Drosophila melanogaster: one gene and its partners. The gene in region 2 interacts genetically with the main gene of each other region. Each region holds a gene or a part of one and is shown on either strand. Other genes may lie near its edges.

Region 1 (10,822 bases), on a different chromosome or scaffold from region 2:
ATGAGCCTCGGAGCATACCCAGCCCCTTTGAGGTGGACCACAGGCATGTGAAACTGGCGACCGATACCAGCCTGGATGGCAGTGGCAGCGGAAGTGGTGGTGGCGACATCGATCTCTACCAGGATAAGTCTTCTACCACCGAGGAAATGATGGCGTCCGGCTCATCCATTCACGAGAAGAGCTCCCTGGTGCCACTGCTGATGTACAGTGGCGAGGATATATCCGGGGAGACGCGCATCCAGAACGGCAGCGATCTGCAGCTGGAGAAGATCAGCCAGGGTGAGGAGGTTGAGCTTGGCAGTGGGGAAATCAGGGAGCCCGTCACCCCCAAAACCAATGCCGTATCCACGCTGGAGATCGATGAACTGGGCTCGGGAGCGGGCCAGGTGGGCGGTGTGGATCCCAAGGCCGATGCCAAGAGCCTGAAGCTGGACGAGAGCCAGGAAACGGTGGCCAGGACCAGTGCCAGTGGACTGGACAAATCGTCGGCGAGGGCCGAGAAGAGCTTTGTGGAGCGGGCCCTGCCATTGGGGCGTCTATACCTCCAGCGCATCTACTGAGGATCGCCGCCTGGAGTGGCTCTACTTGACATATTTAACCCTTTTATTGTACATACGGACACCATGGGGCCTAGTGGCCTGCAAAGCAGCGAATATCCAACCATTCAAGTGAGCAGAATGGCGGCAGATTGTTAGGTTTAAGTAGCCAGAAGAAAGGGGAAGAAGATTCCATTATCATTTCCATAGACTGCATAGAACGACCTTTGAATTTATCAACTTTACGAACGTAATCATTAACTAACTAATGTATGATTAGCAGATTAGCAAAGCTGGGCTCCCCAAATGCAATAACGAAATGTTTCCATTATCTGGCAATCCATATTGCTTAGTTATACTTCTAATTTATACGTACTGAGCTAAGTGCACTGAAAACAAAATCAACCATTGTCCCCCACATTTGAAAATCATCGAATAAGTCGCAACATAAACGAAGGAGAAATTATTTAACTTGTTTTATCCCATCATGATTTTATTTAATTTGTAATTTATTTCATAACGAATGCAAATGATTTTGAGAAATGGTTTAATGCAATGGCCAACTGTGTAGTCCTCTTTGAATTGAAAAGCTTTTAAGTTTAGACTGAATATGGCAAAGTTTTAATTTAAAGCAATTTACTCCTACTTTAACCATAATTTATATACAATTTAAACTAATTTTACTTTGACATTGAGTCTTGATAATTATCGTTGGATTTTCCTAGAAAGGAAAATCAAAAGCTCGAGTGAATTTCAAAGCTGACGAGCGGAGAAAAGTGTCAAAATGAAAACGCAGTCATTCTTTAGTTAGTACGTACGAGTATAATAAATAATTAATTACCTATATGAACATAATTTATTTAGGCGATGATCGTGCACACTATCACTCACACACATACCACACAGAATTTTTGAGATAATTAAAATATATTATGAAAATACTTTAACTAGCGTAAATTTAGATTGAAGCTCATTTAACAATGTATGAAGTACGAAATAAAAATGAGGTAATTCTAAACACACAAGATAAAAGTTTTAAGTGGTTCATATCATATTTGGGAATATTTATTACCACAAATGATGCAAAAATCAGGGCCCTATAAAATACCCTACGATCATCGGACCCACCCAGATGTTATGCAAGCAGCCCCTCTGTACCTGCGGGCATGCCACGCCCCCTCCACGTACAACTCATTACACATGCAAGTGCATGTGGCGGCAATTACCAGAAATTAAATAAACAAACCGAAGCCCAGCAAAAAGCAACAAAATACAAAATACAAAAAAAAATAAATAAAAGTCCGAGGAAAACAATCACGACGACAACTGTTGCATCACGACCGCAGCACAAAAGTTGCCGGCGGGGCAACCACTCGGGTTACCAGCGACTCCATCGCCATTCCCATCCCCGGGTTACGTAACAAGGTTGAGGATAGGATACCATGCCATGCGATAGCAATGTGCCGACTTTTATTGTTAATTCGTATGCGCAGCGGGATCAGCGAGGAGAAAGTCGGCGAAGATCGTTAGGAAAAAGCCACAAATCAAACCAATAAATCACTCGTTTCGATTCGAGAGTTCGTTTGCAGAGGAACCAACTGGTTTTCGGGGAGGATCACTTTCGCTTTTAATATTTTTTTCGGATTTTTTTTTCCAATTGTTTTGGGTGGTAAATAAACGCTGCGATTAAATACTTGTAATGTTTTCGTTTTATTAGTGAGAAACTTAACAATGAGGACGAAATGCAATGAGCTAACCAAGGAAGTGGTCCTACGACTTAGTTGCGACCGATCTGGTCGACCTGGGACTGCAGGTTGTTTATCACCTCGGAGGGCACCTGGTCGCCGAGGATCTCGAAGAGATTGATGCGCTGGTTGCCGGGTATCTGCTCGTACGCGCCCAGCTCGATGCCCTCCTGCACGTTCTGGATCTGGGCATCCTTGGGGATGAGAAGCGTCTGCTGCGCCTGCCGGATCGCCTCGTTCGTGTAGGCGGCACCCTCGCGATTCTGGGGCAGGGATTGGGCACCAGCCAGGAGCAGGGCGAGCATCGAACACAGCGCGAACACTTTCATTTTGTGGGTTTTCTCGAGGGGATTCAACTGCAAGAGATGCACGGATTCAGTGGCGCTCGATGCGGACTGGATTTGGTTATGGTCTTACCTTGCGCGCGTCGTTTGTTGTAATGTTTCGGCTGCGCAGGCGCAATGCCCGTTTTATAAGCTGAGCTGCGCCGCTGGAAGCCCCGAAAATCTGGAAAGCTTTAACTCTTTCATTTCGCTTCGTTTCTGGTTTTTTGTAAAGCCAAAATGGTGGCACAAAGTAGTAGTACCGAAAAAAAGTGTTATTACTTCCCAGCTTAATATCCCCATCGACCCATTAAGGTGAATACATTTTTTATTGGAAATTTTTTATTTTCTTGGGCATTTGTCCAATTTTGATGCGAAGGTTAAGCGCCACTTCAGAAATGTCAAGTGGCATTTAACCTTCCAGTGAACACTCGGCCGCAAAGTGGTCTTTCAGGTGCTATCTGGTTCATATTAATAGCCTGAACGTAAAATATTAACAATTACCAGTCTTTGAAGATTGAAGAGTCATTTACAAATTGCCGCCGCGGCTGTGCATTTTTTGGTTTCTTATTTTTCCATTTTGCGTAAGACGATCAAAAGGAAGAGAAGCAGTTAGTGGCTAAATTACAGCAAATCATCTGCGCCTGATTTGCTTGCAAAAAATATTTAATTATCAGTATTGCGAATTGGCTCGTATCTCTGTAAGATTTTTTTGTAATAAAAAAAAGGAGAAACGACAAAGCAGTGGTTATGCAATCAGCGGTTTTTCGAATTTGATGAGTAATATTTTAGAGAAACAAAATCAAAGTGATTAGAAATACCATACACTCTATTAATATCTTTTTATTTGTTAAAGTAATCGGCAAATTACACTTAAGCAAGCTATTATAATTATGCATAGTTTTAACGCACCAAAAAATTTGAATTTAAAAACTCCGCTTAGTAGTAACGGGTGATAACAAGACGATAAGGCATTTCGATAAGAGCACAGCGATAGCAATGCGATAACTCTTATTCCGGCATGCGCTTCGGCGTTTTTTAGTGTTTTTGCATGTATTTGTTGCATTTACCATCGTTCGTTTAAAAACACGCTTCTTTTCAATTTAATTTTACACAACGATCTCCCGAAGGAAGAACCTCTAGTTTAGTGGTCAACACCTTGTACCACCTGCAGGAGTTAAGTCATAACCGTAGCAAACACACGCGGGAACACCCCAATCCCAATCCAGCCAAAAAGAAACGCACGTGGGCCAGGAGATGGATGTGGATAACGGCGAGGGGCAGGTGCAGGTGCACCTGAAGACCAAGCAGGAGCAGTGAGTGTCCATCTAGAATCTCTATCAGTAGAAGATTTTAATCAAGATACCCTATTTCAGCTATGCCGTGCCTGATGTGCCCTATGCCATCGATGGCACCGTCACCACCGTGGAGCTAAACACATTCGTGAACGCACTGTTGCGTCAAAAAGATGGCTCTTCCGACACGGACTTCGACTTCCTGGTGTTCGATGAGTACCTGCGTGGCCGGCTGTGCGATCACCTGCGCGAGAAAGCCATCAGTTTCGAGGACGCCATCGAGATCGAGTATGTGGAGCGGTTCCCGGCGCCAGAGCCACAGGATTGCCTGCTGCACGACGACTGGGTGTCCGCGGTGAAGGCTAGAGGAAAGTGGATCCTCTCCGGGTGCTACGACAACACCCTGAATTTGTGGACCAACAAAGGCAAGCACATTCTCACTATTTCTGGTCACACGGCGCCCATCAAGGCGGTGGACTGGATATCGCTGGACGAGGAGACGGGACGTTTTGTGTCCACATCGCAGGATCAGACCGCCATGCTGTGGCAGTGGAACGTGGGCTCCAACTCGGTGGAATGTGTCTCCGTGTGCAAGGGCCACGAGCGAGGCGTCGACAGTGTCAGCGTGAGTCCGGATGGTCTGAGATTTGCCACGGGCTCTTGGGACACGATGTTGAAGGTGTGGTCAGCAGAGCTGGACGATGCAGTCGAGGGCAGCTCAAAGCGGATGAAAGAGAGCGGTGTGAGAGTGAGTAGTCTTGCCATTTATAATTAGACTTGTAATCAGCTTTACAATTCCTTTCAGACCCCCAAAATTACGCTGCAGGGACATCGTGAGAGCGTATCAGCCGTGCAGTGGATGGATGCTACCACTCTGCTAACTGGCAGCTGGGATCACACACTCAAGGTGTGGGATCTGAGTCTTGAGGGCATCAAGACCGAAATATCCACCAACAAGTCCATATTCGATGCGAGCTACTCAAAGCTGAATCGGCTGATACTGACTGCTTCGGCGGACAAGAATCTGCGGCTCTATGATCCTAGGACAAACCGTAAGATCTAATACTCCAATATCAACAATGGAACTTCCACCTAACCAATATAATTCGGATCTTTCAGAGGGATCAGTGGTAAGGAATACCTATCTGGGACACAATGCCTGGGTGCAGACCGTCATGTGGTCCACCACGGAGGAGTTCCTATTTGTCTCCGGCGCTTATGACAACCAGAACAAGCTGTGGGACTGCAGGAGTCCCAAGGCCCCACTGTACGATCTTCTGGGTCACGGTGAAAAGGTCCTGGACATCGACTGGTCCAATCCCAAGTACATTGTATCTGGTGGTGTCGACAACACGGTGCGCGTATTCAAATCTCGCAAGGCGCTAGCGGAAGAAGCGGAGACGAAGTAATCCCAAAACTTGTAAACTTTTTATAAATACAAAACTAGTTTAAACTTTAAAGTAAATATTGAAAGATTTTACATCTGGGGTGTTACACTTAAATTATCGAAGTGGGTGAAGCAGAGAGGTATTCAAAGTGTATTATACATGGTGTAAATATTCTTGTTTTTTATTTCATTTACGAAATAGTTAGATTTCAATACTTGAATATTATTTTTATGGTATCCGCTTCCGAGTTGCCACAGTGCTAGAAAAGGCAAAAAACGGTTGCCAGAAGCCGAACATCGATAGTTCGCTAAGGATGAGCGGACAGCGCGAGCACCTAGAGACGGACCCGGACCGATAGCTGGCTACAAACATACAAATTATCGAGTTTCTAACAAAGATAAAGTCGGCTCTGCGTCGCCTCGTAATTTGCCAACTGTAATTTAGCGAAATAACAACGATCGCGACCGTGAGCCGCCGAGGAGTTTGGAGCGCCGACACTGCCACCCACCAAGGACGCCAGCGGAACAGCCGTGCATCCACTGCGAAGGCCGTGTGCGCGAGAGTGCGAGCGAGAGGGCAGCAGGCGACACAGGGAGAATCATTTTCGCAAGTGTTGTGATAGAAAAAAGTGAAAGAAACTGCAATAGTGAGGTGTGTATAGTGCTTCACGGGCTGGTCCCAAGATAGACCCCACCTAATCAGCGTCCAAATTCCGCGAAATTGTGCAATCGAGCTGCAGGCGGCGGAGTCAGCACCGTCATCATCATCCTCCGCCGTCGGCGGCGGCATTTTGCAAATGTCTGCTGATTGATTTTTTGCGGCATCCAGCACATGCTCTCGAAACTTTGGGGGCAAATGCTTGTCCAGCTATCACCTAATCCTGTCCAGCATCCACTGGCCTGACAACGAATCCCATGCAAAACCCACTTTTTACTGTCGGGGGTTTGCCAAAATGGCCGCTGCTCAATAGAAATGCGTGCGTTTGTGCGAAAAAAAGCAAACCCCTGTCATCATAAAGGGGCACAAACTGGGTGGAAAACCAGGTCAAGGACCCTGGGGAAGCCCCGTCCAAGATTCGCGTATAATTGCCGACTCCACTGGCCATACTTTTCACATCAACTACATTCGTACGCACAAAGTGCAGGCAAGAAGGGATTTCCCTTTAAAAATAAATGTGAATCCCAAGTAGGCTTTGGCTTCATATTTCACCAGTTTTCTATGGAAATTCCCTGCTGAACATAGTGGATCGTTTACATAAACCATTATCTAACCAAACATCAAAATACTCATTTCAGTTCGAAGAAACGAGACCAAAAATGTCTTCAACCCCAGCAGCGGGCAGTGCCGCCGAGGTGGCCACCTCCAGTGCCACCTCAAATGCGCCCAGTGCACCCAGCACAACGGCCAGCAACGTGAGCAATACCAGCCAGCCGACGACTGCCGGAACTCCGCAGGCACGTGGCGGCAGGGGCAGCAACGCCAACGGTGGTGCCTCCGGGAGCAATGCCGGTGGCGGAGATGAGCCGCGAAAGGAAGCCAAAACAACGCCCAGGATATCCAGGGCGCTGGGCACCTCGGCCAAGCGCATACAGAAGGAGCTGGCTGAGATCACACTGGACCCACCGCCCAACTGCAGTGCCGGGCCCAAGGGCGACAACCTGTACGAGTGGGTATCCACCATACTGGGACCACCCGGATCCGTCTACGAGGGCGGCGTCTTCTTCCTCGACATACACTTCTCGCCGGAGTATCCCTTCAAGCCACCCAAAGTCACGTTCCGCACGCGCATCTATCACTGCAACATCAACAGCCAGGGCGTCATTTGCCTGGACATACTCAAGGACAACTGGTCGCCGGCGCTGACCATATCAAAGGTCTTGCTGTCAATTTGCTCCCTGCTCACAGACTGTAATCCAGGTGAGACTTATTTTTTTTAGACTTTGATATACAGTGTCGTGTTCTCCACTTTGATTTAACTTTTCCTAGGACTGTAGTAAATATGATCTCATGTTTATATCATGTGTCTTTACAGCCGATCCGCTGGTGGGCAGCATTGCCACGCAATATTTGCAGAATCGTGAGGAGCACGATCGAATTGCGCGTCTCTGGACAAAAAGGTGAGTTGTCGCTGGAAAAGCGAGTAAACAAACTTAGTAATCTGTGTGCTTGTCTTTTAGGTACGCAACATGATGCGTAAGTTTTGGCAACGTGCATGTACCACAAACCGAAAACTGCAACAACAGAAACGAAAATTCGCATCTTGCAACGGAGAAAGTCTATTTTATAAATATATATTAAAGTACGATAACTACTAAATTAACAGTAACAACTACCGTAACACGAAAAGCAACCGCCAACAGCCAGTCGATCCAATCCAATCTAAATTCAGTCTATATTTATATCACGTTAATACAGAAGTTGTAAAAAAAAAAAAACATTTGGAGATTTCTTGAGTTGTATTTTTCGGAAACTAGTTTTGTTTTTAATTCGCTTAGCAACCGAAAACATTGTAACGAGTCACATTCGATGAAAAACTGCATCATGAATTGCACATTGACATATTAAACTATAAACTATTCAACTGCATAATAAATATAAATACAATTAGTTTACATTATATGTGTACAGTGTTAAGTGAAAATGGAGCTAAACGAGTAAAGAGAAAAGCCTATTTTAATGCGTAATGCGTAATATTAATGCAACCAATGTCAGGGCAGTAAACTTCGTAAAAGATGATTTTCATTCAAAAAAAAAAAAAAAAACTGGCCACAGCAAGGAAAATTCTCAACAACAAAAGACTAAAAATGAAGTGGTAAACGAAAAACGAAATAAATCTATGTATACAAAACTTAAGACAACCTATTCCAAATTCCAAAACAAAATTAAATAAATTTGTGTTATTTATATATGAAATCGGATTCGGTTTGATTTTTTAATGTGATATTTTTAAGCGTTCGAAATTTGTTTTTTTGGTCAAATACTACCTTTCACTAATAATGATTTTAGACTTGAACATTAAAAAGGCTCCACCACAGCGAAATTTGTTATTTTAAAGAAAGGCAATTACGAGTATAGTGCTGATATATAAAGGAAAAGAAAAGAAAAAAAGAATATAAATAAAAACCAACTTCCTACTATTTTGTAGTTTTAATGACTAAACCAGTCATCGTCGTCACTTCATTGAAAAAAAAACTGAGAACAAGATTTCGTAACAAAGTAATTGTAAGTTTTTTTCGTAACCAAAACAAAACTGAAATCGCAAATGGAAAGGAACTTAAATAAAAAATATTATAAAATTACTTTTCGACTCATTAATCGGTCCACAGGTAAGGCGATCGCTATGTTTAAGTTTTAGTTTTATTTGATATATCTTTGTTTATATAAAATACGTTTTTCATTACACAATTAATCGTAAATATATATATCCTCACGCTTCCCCGCACGTGGAACAACACAACGAATCTTGGCTAGCCCCCGACCTAATCCGCAGGCAACCGGCTTACAGATACATGCCGTTGACCAGGAAGTCCGCCTCCTGTGAGTAGGGCGTCTTGCCGCCCAGTCGTCGTGCCCTCCGCGTCACCGTCCGCATCCTGCACCCGATAAGAATGGCCAGCGCAGCGGTGACCAGCAGGCCCAGAGTCAGCGAGAGGACCGCCCCGCCAGGTCGCTCCGAGTGACCGTCGTGATCGCGGAACTCCATCGCCAGGTTGTCATGGATCATCTTGTACTGCTCGTGGACGGGGGAAGCGGGAACCGGCAGGGCTGGAAGGGATCCCTCCGGTTGCAACTTGTTTTGCTCCAGGGCAAGTTCAATGGGATCCTTGGCCGTCTTCGTCTTGACCTTCTTGTGTTTGTGCTGCTTCTGTGGTTTTAAAATGAATGGTTAATCTTAATCTATATTCATTCATCAGATCTTACCTTTTTTGGTGCCTCCGTGTACGTTTCCTCATCGTAATCATCGTAGTCCCCATCTGCCGCTGGACCCTGATTTTTCCCAGCTACGGGTGCTGCATTTAGGACTGGCAACATGGCTTGCTGCGCAGCTGGCGGAGATTGGATGGCCGGAGCAGCGGCGGCATAGACATGACCAGATTGCTGGGGCATCAGGGACTGCGACTGCTGCACGGGCGACTGTTGCTGCGGAATTAATGGAGCCTGCTGTGGCCACACCACACTCGCTTGCACCTGCTGCTGCTGTTGGCCAGCTGGAGCCTGGAGTTGCGCCGGCTGCTGTGGCATGTAGATTCCTGTGCGTGACATCCCGTATACAGCCTGGTTGGCCTCGTAGCCGGGCAGTTGCAGCGTTGGGGATTGCCCCTGAACCTGAACCTGACCTGCTCCCGCCATCTGACCCGGAACCTGGAGTGGCGACGGCGGTGGACCCTGTCCGTTTGCGGGCTGCTGCAGCTGGAGGCCGCCTTTATGGCTAAATATGTGGCTCTGTGCGTCTGTAAGAAAGCGGAGGCGAAGGCGTCACTAGGAAGCATGAAGTGTGTGTATCCCGGTTAACGCACAGCTAATTGAATTAATTACGCGCAGACAGAGGCACTGCACGCATAGGGCACAAGCATTCGTAAATCAATTTCGAGCGACGGCAGCTCCCATTTCACACAATGAAAACTGATGGGCTATTTGCGATTTTCCCAGCAGAAAAGCCCTCCGGAACAAGGGAGCGAGTGTGTCGTGGCCAAGTGGCCATGGCAGTGGGATCATTGCGTGCACTGTGCCGGCCATTTGTGTGCTAATGTCGCACTGGAGCGCCGTAGCCTCCGGGTATCACTCCCCATTCCCTGTCCTCATAAATATTTACTCAGCTTTTAGTTTTTGTTGGGCTGGAGTGCCTGGCTAGAACTAATTGCTCCTGGACACTCAATCGAGTTTAATTAACAACTTAATGCAACTTAGTGCAGTGCTGCAGCAGCTTTACTGGGTTGTGAGGCATAAAATAAAATAAATTATATAAAAAAAATGAAGAAAAGCCCTGTATGATTGCCAATCATAAGTTTGTTAGCGTTGAAGATTCTATAGATAAGACAGATATCATCAATTGGGAACTACATCGTATACTACAGCTGCAAAAGTTTCATTTCCTAAACTTTGTTGTGTTAATAATCATTAAATCTAATCTTTGACACATCATATGCTTTTAATACATCCTATCAACTAACTTCTAATCTTAACTATATTTTCCTAGACCCCTTATCTATACTAACCCGTGTTGATGATCTCCGTCTTTGGCTGCGATGATTGTTGCTGCTGTTGCTGTTGCAGTTGCTGCTGCGGCAGCTGCTGCTGCCCTTCGGCAATCATCTTGCGGTTGGCCCAGGCAGCGGCATCTTCACGATTGTTCACCATGGGCGGTGGAGGCGGCGGTGGCGGTGGTGGTCCCAAAACAATGACATGTTGTGGTTGCTGCTGCGGCTGTTGCTGTTGCTGCTGCGGTTGCTGCTGCTGCATCTGCTGGGCCACGACCTGCTGTGTCTGTTGCACGTTCTGCACGGGCACATACTGCGACACCATCGGCTTCACGGG
Region 2 (6,003 bases):
GAGTAAAGCTGTTTTTATCGCACAACCACCACACACAGATAATATGGCTGCTTCAATGAGGGCGCTGCTGAAAGTGCGAGGTGCGTATTCTCCACATCGGTTGCCTAACACGCCCGATAGCCTAACAGCATAATAAATTATATAACTTCAATGGATTTACGGCACCAAAAGAACAAATATCCAAGCAATTAGGGAGCACCTGTCGTTCCGACGCATCTGCTGATTAGTCGGCCTCCATTCGGATTAATAAGCGGCTCAATTTGCGAATCCGCAGATACGTGGCTTTGAAATGATTAAAGAGGGGGAGTGCGGGGGTTGTGTTCAAGGTTCGCTTGCATGTGACCCAGCGTACAAACAACCGTTTTTTTTCGGCAACAAGTACAGTGGAACACCGCTTTGGTGACCATCACTTTTTAACTTTTCTCGTAGTGGATATACGTGTATACTTTTAATTTAATAGTTCAAACAAATAATTGCTGCAAGCATTTGCCTTCGTCAAAAAGTTATTTAATTCTAATTTAGTTTGGGATATTTTTTCCAAGCTCCGATCTATATTTATGAATATTTGCCCTTAGGGCATTTGGCATGAATTACTTTTTTGAGTTCTGAAAGCATGGATAAACTTAGTATCGTTCTAAAAGTCAAACTGGTCAGACCTACCTGGCAAACCATTTACTTTACGAAAGCAGACTTCGGTCTTCAGGAAGCTGGCAGTAAGGAAGGTATAGTGGCAATCCGCTGTTATTCCGCACCATGGATCTGCTTTCACCGTAGCTGAATTGGGGGGTTCAAGAACTTTTGGCATTCTTCAACAGTTAGGACACCATTGACTTCTATCATTGTTACAACTGTCACAGGGATGAAACCATACCATGTTTATAGGTATATTCCCATTAAATCTTAGGTAACTCACTGAGTATAAGGATATATCCGAAAATCTTCATGGTGAGATTGAGATTGAATGTTTCGCAAGTGTTGCAGGGTTTTACAAAGATTAGCTGCTAATTACCGAAACATGTCGTATTTAAGGCGATTAAAGCAACAGGTGTGGAATTTCTTAACAAATGTCAAGGCCACAAAAGGCGGTGTTTCTAAACTTTAGATTACATAGATTTTTAAAATGGTAAAAATGAAGAGTTAAATCTTTATTGAAAGTGATCAAGGATATAAAATGCCTTATAATATAAAAAAGTTATTTTCCTTATCTAGTTTTCCTGCATCTGGGTTTACCCCGGGGACACCTTCCGGCCTTGATTTTCAGAAATACTGGACATGTAAATAAGGTTAGGCGAACTGAATACGATAATTGAATTGAACCTACGAGGCTTTCCCAGTTCAGTCAGTTTGCACTGCTCTTGTCCAACGTGCAAAAGACTCAAGCCTTGGAAGTTACAGGTAGCGGCAAACGCGCAGAATGGACTTCCAGCTTTTATAAATCCTTCACAGACACTCTTTCCATTCGCAGTCTCGAATATATTCATAACTGCAGTGGTTGAATAGTTCAGAACGTATGTATTTACTCGCAGTTTCTTGCGTAGAAACTCACTCAGAAATAATAAGAAGCTCAAAGCTTTCATAATCGCACGCAGATTGAGTAGTTTACATATAATTTAATGCTTTAAAATGCTTCTCAGAAGAATTATAGAATATAGGTATTTATAATGCCTTTAATTGAAACATATATGCATGGAAATATTGGAACAATATTACTATTTTAACGAGCAACGCGGTTTACCATGGAGACATTTTCCGGGAATTAGTTCGATGAATCCTAAACGAATCGATTAAGTTTTCTGAAACACAAAAGGTGTCAACAATTACCCACCTGGTTTTCCGTTTTCTTTGCGTTCACACGACACCCTTTTGAGGTAACTTGGATTTGGACCATCTAAGTTACAATCGGGAAGTATTCCGCAGTGAGGATCAAGATTTAGATAAATTGCTTGGTTGCATTTGCTCATAGCATGCACACTTGAAATGACTAAAGGGGATGTAAAAGTAAAACAATTTCGGTTAGCAACATAAGCTCCAAAAAAACTCACACAGAATAAAAACGATGATAGCTTTCATCTTGCAAAGCGACTGATATTCTTAAAGAAAATACTCAACTTAAATAGATCTATATATGGCATGAGTTCTGGAACATATTCCATTCGATCTAGAAAATCAATTATGTGTACTTGGAAAATGGGCAAGAAATATAGGAATTTAATAAATAATAAACCTTTCTCGAACGTTACGCAAATGAAATTATCATGTAACTATGTAAGTTTACACTTGCAGGCTGGTTTATTAATATCCAAAATACTAAATTTCCAACTTTAGTCCTAAAATGATTCATTCTTACATTTTTCAGATGGCTTCGTGGCCGGAGTGCGCTGCAATTCGCAGTACAACAAGACGCGCGGCAACTTGAAGCTGAACGGCGATTCGCGGGTGATCTGCCAGGGATTCACCGGCAAACAGGGCACGTTCCACAGCCAACAGGCTCTGGAGTACGGCACCAAGTTGGTCGGCGGCATTTCCCCCAAGAAGGGAGGCACCCAGCATCTGGGACTGCCCGTCTTCGCTTCGGTGGCGGAGGCCAAGAAGGCCACCGATCCACATGCCACCGTCATCTATGTGCCACCACCGGGCGCTGCGGCCGCCATCATCGAGGCTCTGGAAGCGGAGATCCCCCTGATCGTTTGCATTACGGAGGGTGTGCCGCAGCACGACATGGTGAAGGTGAAGCACGCCCTCATCAGCCAGAGCAAGTCGCGATTGGTGGGTCCCAACTGCCCGGGAATCATCGCCCCCGAACAGGTTCGTACATCTCCAGCGCTTGAGAGATAAGCTTGGCCAGAGGGCAAAGTCCACGTTCATCTGGTGGTTTTCTTATCTCTTGGTATGACGCTCGCTTTGAACTACATATATCTGTTTACTATTCCGTTTTCAATTTGCTTATTGTTAATGTATAAACAGGCCTCCATTGACACACCCTTAAATTTGGGCATTGAACTTTGCACCTGAAGTTGGTGGAATTTGCGGACGATACGTTTTTTATTACCATTTATAACGCTTATCTTTCTATGCGTCACAAAACTTAGTGATTACCCACTTCACTCCACTTTCAGTTAAGTCAATTGTATAATCTTAAACTATGTTTTTTCTGATTGCAGTGCAAGATCGGCATCATGCCGGGTCACATTCACAAGCGCGGCAAGATCGGCGTGGTCTCGCGCTCGGGAACCTTGACCTACGAGGCCGTGCACCAGACCACGGAGGTGGGTCTGGGCCAGACCCTGTGCGTGGGCATTGGAGGCGATCCGTTCAACGGAACCGACTTCATCGACTGCCTGGAGGTCTTCCTCAAGGATCCCGAGACCAAGGGCATCATCCTGATCGGCGAGATCGGAGGCGTTGCCGAGGAGAAGGCTGCCGACTACCTGACCGAGTACAATTCGGTATGAGAAGCCATCACGGATCAATGTATTTCATTGCTAAATGTTTTTGTATCCTATTGCAGGGCATCAAGGCCAAGCCTGTCGTCTCGTTCATTGCCGGAGTGTCGGCGCCACCCGGCCGTCGCATGGGTCACGCTGGAGCCATCATTTCCGGAGGAAAGGGAGGTGCCAACGACAAGATCGCCGCCCTGGAGAAGGCCGGCGTCATTGTGACCAGGAGTCCTGCCAAAATGGGCCACGAGCTCTTCAAGGAGATGAAGCGTCTGGAGTTAGTGTAAATAATTAAAGGCCATAACCAAACCGGAATCCGTACGCCGATCAAAGCGTATACGCAAACTCATGATGATGAACCTAACGTTAAGCTAAAAGTGTCGAAAATCGAAATTGCATTCGAGCGAACCCAAATAAATTATTGTGAAAAATTACTAGAGAGAAACGAGAGGCGTTGAATTGTGACATGTATTCCAAGAATTAAGTTAACTACTGCCGTACCACCAAGTTGAACTAAAATAACTCGCACCAAAACCAAGATTTCTAATTGTTATTGCACTCGGCTCATTGTTTGTGTTGCGAACAGATTTTTGCCTTAATTTTAAATGCCTGCTCGAATTATCAATGCGAATTGTATCTGAATGTGTAATAAATATGCATAAAAACAGGATAGATGTGGTGAATTTTCGTGGTTTTAGCTATACAAGCCATATCCTTTGAAAATATGAATTTTCAGGTCAATTTATTTAATCTAAACTAAAATTCTTTGGAGAAGAATTAACAAAACAATAATTTATGAAAAGCAATGCTTACCATATTAAAAAAAGATTTAAGGAAATTTAAAAAAATGTAGTTTTCTACTTTCGATATTTAATGGGATCGACTTGCAAACATCAAGAGCACACATCGATAGAGCGGAAGTTTCGATTAACTCGTGAAATATCTGGCAACATTAATATCGAACTGCCATCGCTTTTTGTGCCAGCTCTAATAAACATATATATGTTTTAGGGCCGCGATTGAAAATGCGTGCCACAAAGGCCTAAACAAACTTGGAAAACACCGCGAAAAACGTCAGAAGCTATAGTGCCGATTCGCATATTGTTCGCCACCCCGGAAAAGTGTGAAAATCGCAGATAATCAAAAGGGAGAGCAACCAAAGGAAAAGCAACAACAACGACTCGCCATGGGCAGCAGAACTGAAAATGGTGAGTTTCTAAGAAAATGTCCCTAAATTTCGTTAGCACTGTCCCTTTTCTCGCAAAGCGTGTTGGAAATGATGTGAACATAATAATATTAGTGCGCTTATTATTACTATTGCAACATTTTCGGTTTTTGCAGCCGCCGGTTGCGGTTGCATTTTAAAGTGCACTACATACGCACACACACACATGTGCACATACAAATTTATCACCTCGCATGTATGTATGTATGTGACGGAGTAGTGCATGCCTTTTAGTAGGGCTGCCGGGAAGGCCCCGTTATCTGATTCCGGGTATGTCTAATTGGAGTTGTTAGTTGGAATTTTCGTTCGCCGAGGAACTTTATTGAAAAAAAGTTGTAGCATGGCTAATACCAGGAGTTCATGGCCTTGACGCTCGCAATACATAGTGCTGCATTGAAAATAATAAATTATGGGATTGTTGGTAGCAGATTGGTAGCTTAATTGCTCACATAATTCTTCGATTTAATATTATGCCAATGCTTCCGTACTTTTAATATAATATATATTCAATATCCTACTTTAAAAAAATATTATTATGAAACGAGAAATATAGCTAGAAGTATTATTCTTTATTATTCTTTAGTTTTAAGTTTTTAAAATGTTGATCCGAAATATCAGGTTGAGTTAAAAGTAATGTAAATGTAAAATATATTTTACAAACAGCACGTCATTATTACTTCGGATATGAAAAACCACTTAAGGATGCGTCCTATCTATATATTATGTAGATTTTTGTGTATAAGCTTTAGGATAAATAGTTTTGAAAACTGTTGCTGCTGCTGCAGATCGATTACAAAACGCCGAAAAATGTGCGTTCCAGTTCGCTAGGAACCCTCAACTTCTGGTGACATATCGCATTCTTGCAAACATTTTTGTAAGTTTTCTTCCTCTTCGCGTTTGCTCGATTTATAGAGAATGCTTTTGTTTGTGTTTAAAATAGATTCGAAATGGCTCTTTGGCCTGCGTCCGCCATTGTCGGCGTTTTCGAGTGGGTTTTATTGAAAATCTATTTTGCGAATTATCCGACCAGCCCGGCTATATCCCCCCTCCCTCCACTTCCCTGGGCCTTTCTCACATTTGTCTCCAATTCTCTTACATCGCTGGCGTCGCAATAATGTCGTCAGTTTTTTGTTTATTCGCTCTCCCAAACACCGAAACACGCAAAAAATAGTTCTTATTTTTGTTAAATCCACACAAATTTTCTTGAGTGAAAGTGAAGATTTTATCTTATTAGTGATTGTAGCTTCTATCAAAAAGTGTGAGTTTAGGAAAGTTTGGGTTTTGAATATCTGGACTCATTGGTCTTTCAATGCAAGTGTCCACTGTACTTTATAATACAAT
Region 3 (10,822 bases), 6.7 Mb from region 2:
GTGTTGAGCATAATAATGAGAATGGCAAATGGAAAACAGACGCATCAACAGACGCGGCTAGTAAAATACAACATAAATCAAAAAATACACTTTGAGATCTTTTTTTTCACAATGTCCTTGGTCCTTGTAACATTTTTTGAGCGGATTCTGAATTAACCTTTTCATAAAATAGATTGCATTAAAGTGTGTTAATATATATATATCTTCTTAATACCTTTTTAACCCATTACTTATACTTATGTATATCCTGTACTGTGTTAAAGAAATCGCATGTATGTGTCTGCTTCCTCAGTTTATCCTCGTCCAACTTTTACTTTTCGCCAGCCGTCTGTTTGTTTTAAATAAATTATGCCTGACTACGAGCTTTATTTAACTTCATCATGTTAACGAGTCGGCTTACTATGGAAAGCCACTCTTCTTTATGCGACACACATTTGAATTGCATATTCTAGTGCGTTAACCGAAATGCAAATACATTTCCTGTACTTCGTCCCCAGGCAATTAGTCGGTCACTTTGGTGCAATTGGCTAAATTACAAGCGGCTCAATTTAATTTTTGCCGGCTTGATACTCTCTCTTATTTGTGTGTGTGCAAAACTCTCGGCCACAGGAAGTCATTGTCATTTTGGTTTTTTTTTGCGTCTGCATGGCAGTCAAGCGAATTAGCATAAATTATTGCCCTTGCCGTTGGGGAATTTTCCTCGCTTTGAGGCCCAAAAGTAAATTTAACATTGTCAAAGGACTTTAAAATATATGTACGGAAGTCTATTTAAATTAACAGAAATTTATTGAAATGAATGGTCGTTTTCGTAAGTTTTTAAAGTTTTAAATTACACAGAAGTTATTTCAATGTATTTTAAGTAATTTAATACTATTATTATTTTAGATTTCAGCTTTAGTAGTTGAAATTAATGTGACACGGCAATGCCAAAGTCGTAAATTCCTGTCGTTAACTTAAGCTTCGCGATTATCTCTGATCTGCGCTAATTTCGCAGCAATAATCGCGGCAATTAAATTTACGACCATTTTCGCAGACGGACAAAACGCTCATGAAATCTCGTAAATTGTTTTACCCCATTTCTAATCCAAAAGCACAGCCCATCACGAAGCCATAAAATAGGGCGTAGCACACTTTTTCATAAGCTTAAATCAAAATATATGCATAAACTAAAGGAGGTATAAGAAAGTCAGCCATCTGCACAGCTGCCATTAAATATTACGCATACGCCATGTTAACACTTTATAAACGCATTAGCGTCCTTCCAACATCTTGAATATGGCCAAATATTGTGTATTTTAGTGTGTGTCCCATTTCCCACATTAAAATACAATTTTCAAGCTGTGGGACAGCAAAATTGGAAACAAAAATATGAACGAAAAAGGTAGAAAACAAATTCAGACTGGCAAAATATTTATGAGCCAAGAAGGATAAGAACTGCCCTGACCATTGTTAGCCATAAATCATGCGATTATTGGGCGAAAACACGTGGCCAGATAAACATAATATACAGAGTGGTTCGCAACTATAAGGTTGGATAAAAATATTTTTAAAGACAGTTCATTGAAAGGATTTATCATATTGAATTAATTTAGTTCCATTGAAGTATGTGAAATATAATGAAGTATAATCTGCCATTCAATAATTTATTATTATAATAACACATTTTCTGAGAACTTTAGTTTCGAAACGGACTGTATTTAAGTGGCACAGAGACCTTATAAATGGCTGTGCCACGCCCATACGGCGCAGGACATTAAACTCAATGAGTTGAAATTATTTGCAGCTCTGAAGGTCAACTTAATGCGGACTGAATAAATGGCTGGGGGGAGTTTGGGGGGGTAAAAACTGCCTGAAGTTGGGGATCCATGGTTCAATGGGCTTGTGGGTGTGGCTGCTCGTTCGCCATTAAAGACAACTTCCGCTAACAATAAATTTTGCTTACCCTGAAATGGTTTGGAGGATGCGAAAAGCTTAAGCGCTATTTTTTATACCGAAAAATATATATATTTTAGCAGTTCGTTTTCTTTTTTAAACCACCCAGCGAGTTGGTGTCGATTAAACTGTTGTATATTTTAGTGCTCTTGTTAAGAGAGCTCAGTGGTTTTTGGGTTTTATTTTATTTAAGTCTTATTTTTAGGTGCGGCTAAGTGTGCACGGCTGCGTTAATTTGTATGGATTATTTATGGTGGCCGCTGGCAGCAAATGAGGCCACAAAGGAAGTGAAGCTGGCAAAACTCTAGTACGCGGGAAAACCCGGATGAGCTGCAAGTTTTCCGAAAGTTTGCAACCTCACAAGTGCCACATAAAATTTATGGCTCTATTTTGAAAGTTGGCAGAGCATCGACAATGTTTCAGCTCGTACACACACACTTAATATGCCTAACTGTACAAAATCAATTAACAAGAAATGGAGCCACAAGTTCGACTAGTTCGTATTGATATCAGTTTGATTTTCATCATTGACAGACGATGTTGCTAGTTCTTGTCGTGTTGCAATTTATAAGTTTTACTTATGGCAGTGAGAAGAATAACCAAACCTATTCAGAATGCGAGGCTATGACTGCAAAAGACGAGCCAAATTTTGCCATTGTTTTTCAATGTCTTGTTGCAAACTATAATTTAAATGCAACTCTATTGGATATTATGATAAAGATGGATCAATTTCAACAAATTTTAAATCAAATTTCTAACGAACAGGAATATAAACAATCACCTTTTAAAAAAATTGATGACATTTTAGAAATACCTAGTGATTTATCCGGTAAAGATTGCCAATACAGACGACAAATAATGCAAGCCATACGCAGAAAACTGGAATGGTATAATGTTATGGACGATACGGAGTCTACACTTTTCGATTACGATGATGCCATAAAGCCAGAGATTTCTGAATCAGCACCGGAAAATGCGGTTTCAAAAATCGAACTGAGAACCGATTATAAAATGGTTTTAAAAGAGATCCGTTGCCTGCTGGCAAAATCCATACGAAATACAGGTAATAAATTAAGCTTTTAACCTCTTGTTGGCCCAATTGATTGCGACAATTAAGAAGGCACAAAAGGGTGACAGGTGCGAAAATTGTTCAGAAGGTCGGCGTTACTGACTGAATTTAAATTGTAAATAAATATGTGAGCATCTCTCGCCACAATAGCACGCAATCAACAAGCCTCACACGAAACTGTACAGCAAAGGTGATTGGTACACAGCGAAAAAAAAAACAAGTTTTTTATACTAACTATAAATTGCATTAATTTTTAAGAGCTAAAAAAGATGTTTATTTTTTACAGAACCGACCGTTGATGCAATAGAAAGCAATTAATTTGAAAACTGGAATAGGTTTCCCCTTAAAATGTGACTATTTTCGTATGTATTTTGAAGTTACAACTTATAAATAAATTTATGCTAAAATATTTTCTCCGTTTATTACCTAAATATTGTACATAAATATAGCATACAGCTAGTTTAAAAATAGAATTTATTTATGTAATTTAAAACAGTGCTTGAAGAACCTGCTGTGCTGGCATAAAAAAGTATGGTCACACGTGTGCGAAGCCCCCCCCCCCCTTGGCTTTTCGCCCAGCAGTTTGGCCTCGTTTTTAAATTGAAATCTCTGCAGCCAACACTGGACATTGCCTTCATTTCCCCGCGGACAGAGAAAGGGAGAGTTGTCCCTGCATTTCTCCCGTCCTTGCGGTGCTTTAAATAATTGCTTAGAAGCCGACGAGCAGACTCAGTGGTAACAATAATAACCGCCCAAGCACTCCGACTATGATAATAATAGCAAATAGAACCTGCCGCAGATGGAAATGCCACTCGGACAGACGCCGCTCCCCTTTCTCTTACTTTTCCACATAAGCCTTTGGCTTATGACCACACCCCCCCACTGCAAATGCATTTCACTTACTCTACACACACACACACACTCGTATAGTAGAGAAAGTAAGGGCCAGTGAGAGTTTGTGTGTTTATGCTCACTTTTAATGTGCCATATAAAATAATTTAATGACCGGCCAGAGACGAGGGTGTCTCCTGGTAATGAGAAAAGCGATTGGACAAAAACGGGTGGCTGTAAATGATAATAGTGGCATATTATGATGCAGATAGTCATGACAAATGGCTACGTCGAACTTTAATTGGTAAGCGGACTTGGACTGGATCGCCATATAGAAAAGCAATTATATCTGTAATTATAAACTTATCTATTTGCCATTAAGAATGGATTACAATGTTTGAATGCCATTTGTAAAGCCATAATATCTACAAAGTATAAGTAAACAAATTTACAAAAATGACTACAAAAAAAAAGTCTTAAAAAGTACTCAATACAATTTTCATGTAAATCAACCCTTTTCCATTTTCTCTTTCTCTCCTGCTGAATTTTAAATTGTTATTTTTAAATATTTTCGTTGGGCTTTTTCTTCGAGCTTAATCTGCGGAAAATTTTCCATCGGTTGCCTTAAGTCAACCCTAATTAGGTTATTCTTGGCAATCCCTTGCTCAATCCCCTTTTAAAGCGGCCTTAAAAAACGGAATTAATTTTCCGAAATTTATATTTTTCTTTTGATTTCTTTAGATTTTTGGTTTTGCTTTCGTTCTTCGTTCCCGATTTTCGTCCTTCCACTTTACTGTCCTGGTCATTTTCTACAAAATAGTTGCGCTTTATTTCCAGGCAACTTCGTCGCTCAAGTGACAGCTGTCCTCACCTCCACTTCCGCTAGAATGTCAATAAAAATTCAATTACGTTTTCCGCCAAAGAAAAGTTGCTGCTGAAAATACGTTTTCCTTATAGCCTTCTGTTTCCATTTAAAATTGCCTCTCTTTGTCGAACGGAATTTGTTTGCCAGCCTGATCGATTTGTGATGCTGGGCCGTGGAAATGTGGAAATCAGAGACTTGGGCACTTATACTTAATGGCCTAATTATGTAACCAAACGCCCACACACAAATAGGCTGAGTAAATAATCATAATAATCAGCATTTTGGCGGGGGAAAGAAGAAACCATAAACTTCTCGGGGTTCAAATAAAAATAAATTGTGCGACTAGGCTTGGGCAATTTGGCGGAAATGGTTTTCTGCCTTGAACACATATGTTTATAAGATTTATTCTGTTTTTCTGCTTATTTTTTGTGGTTAAATAGTTGGCCAAGTTTATGCTGATGATGCCGTAGGTCGTTGTGCATTAAACCAAATTTAATGTTACCTTTTATCAGGTGGCATTAAAGAGCTCTTTCACCAAAAATATACATTTTTCTCATCCCTCAAGTAAGCATCAAACTGTTATACTGACTGTAGTGTTATACGGCAAAGGCTGCTGCATACTTACAGGCTCTTTTGCGCAAAATTTCAGTCTCCCATTGCAAGTGCTCACGTGAGGACGGAAAACATTTTGCTCATCGCTTTCGCCTCGCGCATTGGCAAGTCGCGTAAAATTCTCGTGTTAACAGGAAAAACGTCACAAATTTTTCAAAACCACCCCAAGTCCCATTACCCGCAGTGGGAAAAACCTCAAATTCCTTGGGCTATCCGTATCAATCAACGACTAAAGGCTTAGTGTCCCTTTGTGATTGTGTGTGCTTTTTGTGTGTGCACTGTGTATTTCGTTGTGCTGCCGGCTTCAATTAGCAGCTTTTCCTCATTCTGCCCGCTGCTCTTGTGTGCGTTAGATTAATGAGGCAAAAGTGTTTTGTCGTGTCGTGCGTTAAATATTTAATACAATATCAAATAAATGTTGCATAAGCCGCCTGTCATTTAGCATCTAGTGCCAAAAGCAAAAAAAAAAAGAAAACACAAAAACGTGTGTTTGTTTCGTGTGTTTACCACAAGTAATTCGGACAGCAAACGGATTCTTTTTTCACGATTCACAAGAGCACGTCGATCAAGTAAGCCTTAGCTATTAAATATCACAGAAATAAAAATGTATCCCATTTAGCACATTAAGTTACCCATTTGAACAGCTTTTATTGGACTAGTCTTCCGCTGAGATATCTTGAGAATTTGCCCATTTCCCAAACGCATTTAAAACATTTTTATTGCCCATTTTTGCTTTATGTCCCGCATTAAAACATCTCCCGCTACGTAAAGATAATTTTGATTTGATATTCGTGTAATTTTTCCATTTGTTATTTGCCCGACTTCCATTGTTGATGGTCTGGCAGGGAATTTCGATTTGCGTTTACCCTTCATTTATTTTCAGCTGGAGATGCAAATAATGGTAGAAATGCCCGCAAAAATACTTTTACAGCAACAGGACTCCGGGGCCGATTTTCATTTCAAATTGCTCACATTAAGGGGCCACCCCCCCCCCCACCGGGCATCACAATCTCCCCCCTTTTATGGCACTCACATACCCTGTATCTGTGCATATATCCCCTTATTACCCAGCGCAGAGTACGAAATTAATTGTAACCAAACGTTTTGCTGCTTGCCGCAAACTTACTTTTATACTAGTTCATTTGCCACGCCCCTATCCCCCACGGAATGGACGCACAAAGACAACTAAAAGGGTATACACGCACAGCAACACTGAGAGAAATGGGTTCTGCATCGATAGTTATAGTTTTTAAGCCAAAATGTATGCTTATATTTTCTATTGCTTAATTTAAGACTTCTTTTTAGTGACTTTGAGCCTTTACTTTAAATAACTTTAAACTTTACTTTAAATAACAAAATCGAAGTTGTGACAACAGTTTTTCCTGCGTGAGCTTATACAAACACGTGCATGTACATGTGGAGCAAGAGGTAGCTAGCATCCCAACTAAGTAAATAATGCGTAAAACAAGTCAAGCGTTTTACAAACTCACCCATTTCGCCATCCCGTTTCCCCGTTAAACAAAGGGGGTTTCCACTGCAAAACGGGGAGTTTCCCCCATTTAGAAACAGCAGAAACAGTCAATTGTAAAATTGCTGCAGCCAACAAAGCGTGGCAAGGAAGCTAAGCGAGTGGCTCAGACTGTTTCCATAGGTAGTTGTTGCCCGATGTTGATGACGGCTAGGATTGCCGGATTCCCGGCACAAGAATCTCCACCGTATGTAATTCATTATTATGCTGACTGAGGCTGGAAGGCACTGACGGTAGAAGCCAGAAGCAGGAAAAAATATTTGCGCACATGTGGCTAGAGTTTCCATCACTTCAGCGTGCTGCTGTTATTCTTGTTAAGGCTAAAATTGTCTGTCACTTTGAGACTTCCGTCATCTGCAGGATAAAAGCTGTGGGCGAAAATATGCGAGCGAAAAATGAGACTCCACATTTTGGTTGTATGCTAAATACTTCACGGTCCACGGTCCTGTTTATGCAACAAGGATGTCTTTGAAAATATCAACGTTGGTTCGCAAAAAAGGATACCTATTGTATATATCGGGCTTAGAAAAATAGGGGATTTTAATACTAAAAAGTTTTAAAAAACTTAAAACTTTCGTGACATGTGAAGATGGCTCTCATTTATCAACGCTACAAAAGTAGCTCAAAATGGCCCTTTTGAAAATATAAGGACATGAAAACGATCAAATATACCACCTGTGTCGCAGTCAAAATGTAACAACAATTGAGAACAATAAACAAATGGCACACAAAATCAAAGTTTGGTTCGCTTATCTTTGTTTGACTTCTCTTCACTTTGACCCACCAAAAAGTTTTTATTTTTTTATAATGTCCTCGAAAAATGAGCGCCATAAATCATGGGGCGTAAATATGCCACCCCCATTTATCTCGTCTAACAAAGGGAAAACTTGCACCGTAAATTTGTATAAGCAGCAATTACTTAAAAAACTCCGAACCTTGACTTGTTTAGCCAACCAATGAAAAACTCTATTGTCAACTACAATATTTTTCCACAGCTCCATTTGCAGTTATTTACATGAGCAGATCCACATTTTTGGGTGGCAGATGGGTGCTGTGCCTGATATTTTTTTTTATGCTTACTTGCGACATCGCATTTTTGCACAAGACTTCTAAACTATATTTCGGACAATATGCAACATGATATTTTTCATGCTTATTCAACAGAAAAAAAATGAGAAGAGATTGCACATACGTTCCTCACAGAATTTCAATAAAATAGAGTAGGAATTTATGTGCACGATATGTTTCCGAGATTCTATGAGCATGTAATTTGTGGGTATTTCTGTCACAGTTTATATGTACAAAAATGTGCATTGCAGTATGCAGAGATCTAATGCTTTCCTTTTTTTTATTACTCAACTCATTTTGAAACTAGCCTTTTTAAATGAAATTGCCAAGCAGTATATACTTATATTATTGAATATTGATTTATTTAATTATTATTTGAAATGAAAAGTATTTTATTCCTTCCATTTTGTAACCCCTTTTCATATCCTTGCAAATAATTTGTCTTATTATGCTCCCCACTTTCGGGCATCATCCATCTTAATCGCTTTGACTTCTTTGGGTGGTTTTTCCTCTCATTTTTCTTCTTTTCCCTTTTCTAATAAGCCTAATGGCAACGCTGTAACCATTATTTCAAAGAAAAGCGTATAAATATAATTTATTCCACATAAACTTGATTAAATGCTTCTCTTTTCCACTTTCCCCCTTGCATTAGCATACGAAAAGTGGAAATGGAAAAATCCTACTTAAGTTCTTTCCTTCTGAAAAACAGTAAACTTTCCGCACACGCAGACCACATGGAAAAAAAAAAGCCAAAAACAGAAAAGAAATAAACTCCTTTTCTGATGATGATGGCCTGGTTGAAATCCGCTTAGCGAAGGATACTTACATCCTGGCAGCTGCCACCTGCTGCTAGTCCTTCCATTTTGAACCATCTATCTATCAGGCAGTTCGTCGAAAGCCCCATTCAATCAGATATATCATCAATCATGCCCAGCATATTTCCAGCGATGCCGAAACGAATGACAACAAATATTTTTTAACCAGCACATCGTAAATGTCGCATTCAAATTGCACAGAGAAAATCGGCAAATCGATGTGAAAAATCCGCAAAATTTCAATCATTGGGTTGAATACGATTTCCACGAGAGATGAATTGCTTTTCATTTTGCTCGAAATTGGGGTTAACAAACTCATTAGATCTCTTGGCATCATTATGCAAGCAGAGATACAGGCTCACTAGGGCAGATAGTAGATACAAAAAAAAGTAGTTAGTTAGTTAACTAAAACCAGAAAATAGTAATTTATTGTATTATGAAAAACAAAAGAAAGAAAACCTTATAAGATGAAGCTATCGATTTGTAATATAATTTTAAAATGTTAGGATTTTTAAACATTCTGTTTAATTGGTATGATACACTATAGATCGATTGCTATATTTGTTAAATTATCGAATTTTTAATTTTACCAACCATTGAATAACATATTTTTTGGATTTATTTTGTCGAGTGCATAGATACGCACCCATTAAGTATGCGCCGTGTGGTTCCACTTCCGCGTATCAATGCCGCCACAATGACGCTGTAGCTGCTGCTGCTTATGCTGCTGCTCCATTTAGCGTGAAAACATTTAAGCCAACAAAAGCAGATCTCAAACGCACCCACACAAGCGCCTCAAAGTGGCATACACCATGTATAAGATATTTTTACTGAAAAAAAAGAACTGCGGTGATGGTGAAGGTCAGGCCGTTGTTACGTTTTTTGGCCTAAACCCCATGGCCTTTTGCTCGTTGTTCTTGTTGCTTCGCATGTAGTTAAATTGTTTTTGCCACTGCCATTGCCCATTGCATCCGCCCTTTCATCTTACATCTCTTTGGCTCTCTTCGATCATGCGCACTTTGACCTTGCTCGTAGCACAGTTTTTGGTGATGCTGTCTTGGACCTTAGTTGGCCGTATAACAGTTTAACAGTTGCAGACTTTTGGGCGCTATTGGACTGCTTTTCTGCATTTTCTTTACTTCCTTTTGTTTTCATAACTTGTGTGGCCACAGGACACAGTAAAAATAAATTTTGTTCAATTTTTTTTTCCTTTTTTTTTTGATTTAGGTATTTGCGCGTCAAATCGCCAATGGCGCCAAATGTTGAAAATGCAGCGCAAAAACCACAAATAATATTGTACGTATGAGTTATGTTCGCTGGATCAACATGCAGGGGATTAGGCATTGGTTCGGTGTGAAAAATTCAACTTTTGTAATTTTTTGTGTGAAAAAATAAAGAAACGTAAAACTAACTTACAGATTAAACTATCTGAGTTATATAAAGAACTCTTAAGCAGAGGTTACGAACTACTATAAGATGTATAAGTTTAAAACCAAAATTAGAGAAATATGATAAATTTCAAAGATGACATGGTTCTCGTGATTTTATCCATTACCACCCTTAAGATGCCTTCCACCCCCAAGAACAAAAATATCTACCCAAAGTATTTACTTTTGCTTAACCAGCAAATTGTTTCAGTTCTATGCAGTTTTAAGCTCGGAAATAATTACCATTTGGTTGAAATTGCGCCCTTTCAGTGAGAGTTAAGAGCAGTAGGTAAATCGCTGTGATTGCCTCTTGAATCCACTTTAATGATTTGAGACTCTCTCTAGCGTTTTTTATATTATCTTACTCCTGATGATCCTTTTGCCATTTTAATGTCATTTTCATAATACGATCCGGCACCTTCACATTTTTTATTATGTTCAGAGTGGCCTGGGTAAATCTCTTTATCCACCCACCCGAGACTTTTTACAAACTTTTATGACGCGCTCTTCAAAGTCACTTTTGCTCACTGTGAAGCTGACAACGCAAATGCGTATTTAATTCCACTTGTGTAGCTTATGCCACGCCCACGCCATTGGGCGGAGCGATTGTTGTTGATGCGTTAACATTAATAAATGTCAGCGCTTTTTCCGCTGCACTGTCAAAAACTTAGACTG

What was found.
Region 1: of enc (region 2) and Ubc2, changing one enhances a phenotype caused by changing the other (phenotypic enhancement), as found in Drosophila melanogaster (one study listed by BioGRID).
Region 3: of enc (region 2) and Rbfox1, changing one enhances a phenotype caused by changing the other (phenotypic enhancement), as found in Drosophila melanogaster (one study listed by BioGRID).

What each region holds. Positions count from the first base shown.
Region 1 is NT_033779.5:10,762,773-10,773,594, reverse strand, and holds Ubc2 (ubiquitin conjugating enzyme 2), read left to right. Parts: upstream 1-5,655; 5' UTR 5,656-5,938; intron 5,939-6,508; exon of another isoform or gene 6,509-6,582; 5' UTR 6,583-6,603; coding exon 6,604-7,204; intron 7,205-7,319; coding exon 7,320-7,404; intron 7,405-7,464; coding exon 7,465-7,477; 3' UTR 7,478-8,585; downstream 8,586-10,822. Other genes in the region: CG31869 (uncharacterized protein), read left to right, coding at 1-560; CG17127 (uncharacterized protein), read right to left, coding at 2,314-2,610; CG6724 (uncharacterized protein), read left to right, coding at 3,862-3,920, 3,981-4,647, 4,705-4,951, 5,019-5,308; CG6495 (uncharacterized protein), read right to left, coding at 8,787-9,152, 9,209-9,738, 10,504-10,822. UniProt on the Drosophila melanogaster protein: Catalyzes the covalent attachment of ubiquitin to other proteins.
Region 2 is NT_037436.4:3,814,276-3,820,278, forward strand, and holds the start of enc (encore), read left to right. Parts: upstream 1-4,403; 5' UTR 4,404-4,642; coding exon of another isoform or gene 4,643-4,645; intron 4,646-6,003. Other genes in the region: Scsalpha1 (Succinyl-coenzyme A synthetase alpha subunit 1), read left to right, coding at 44-80, 2,357-2,805, 3,162-3,446, 3,509-3,724; Acp63F (accessory gland protein 63F), read right to left, coding at 1,710-1,771, 1,826-1,981, 2,043-2,070. UniProt on the Drosophila melanogaster protein: Required for the regulation of germline mitosis, karyosome formation, and establishment of dorsoventral (DS) polarity of the egg and embryo. Involved in proper grk mRNA localization and translation in the oocyte.
Region 3 is NT_037436.4:10,476,068-10,486,889, forward strand, and holds the start of Rbfox1 (RNA-binding Fox protein 1), read left to right. Parts: upstream 1-5,344; 5' UTR 5,345-5,878; intron 5,879-10,822. Other genes in the region: CG46430 (uncharacterized protein), read left to right, coding at 2,470-2,995, 3,288-3,319.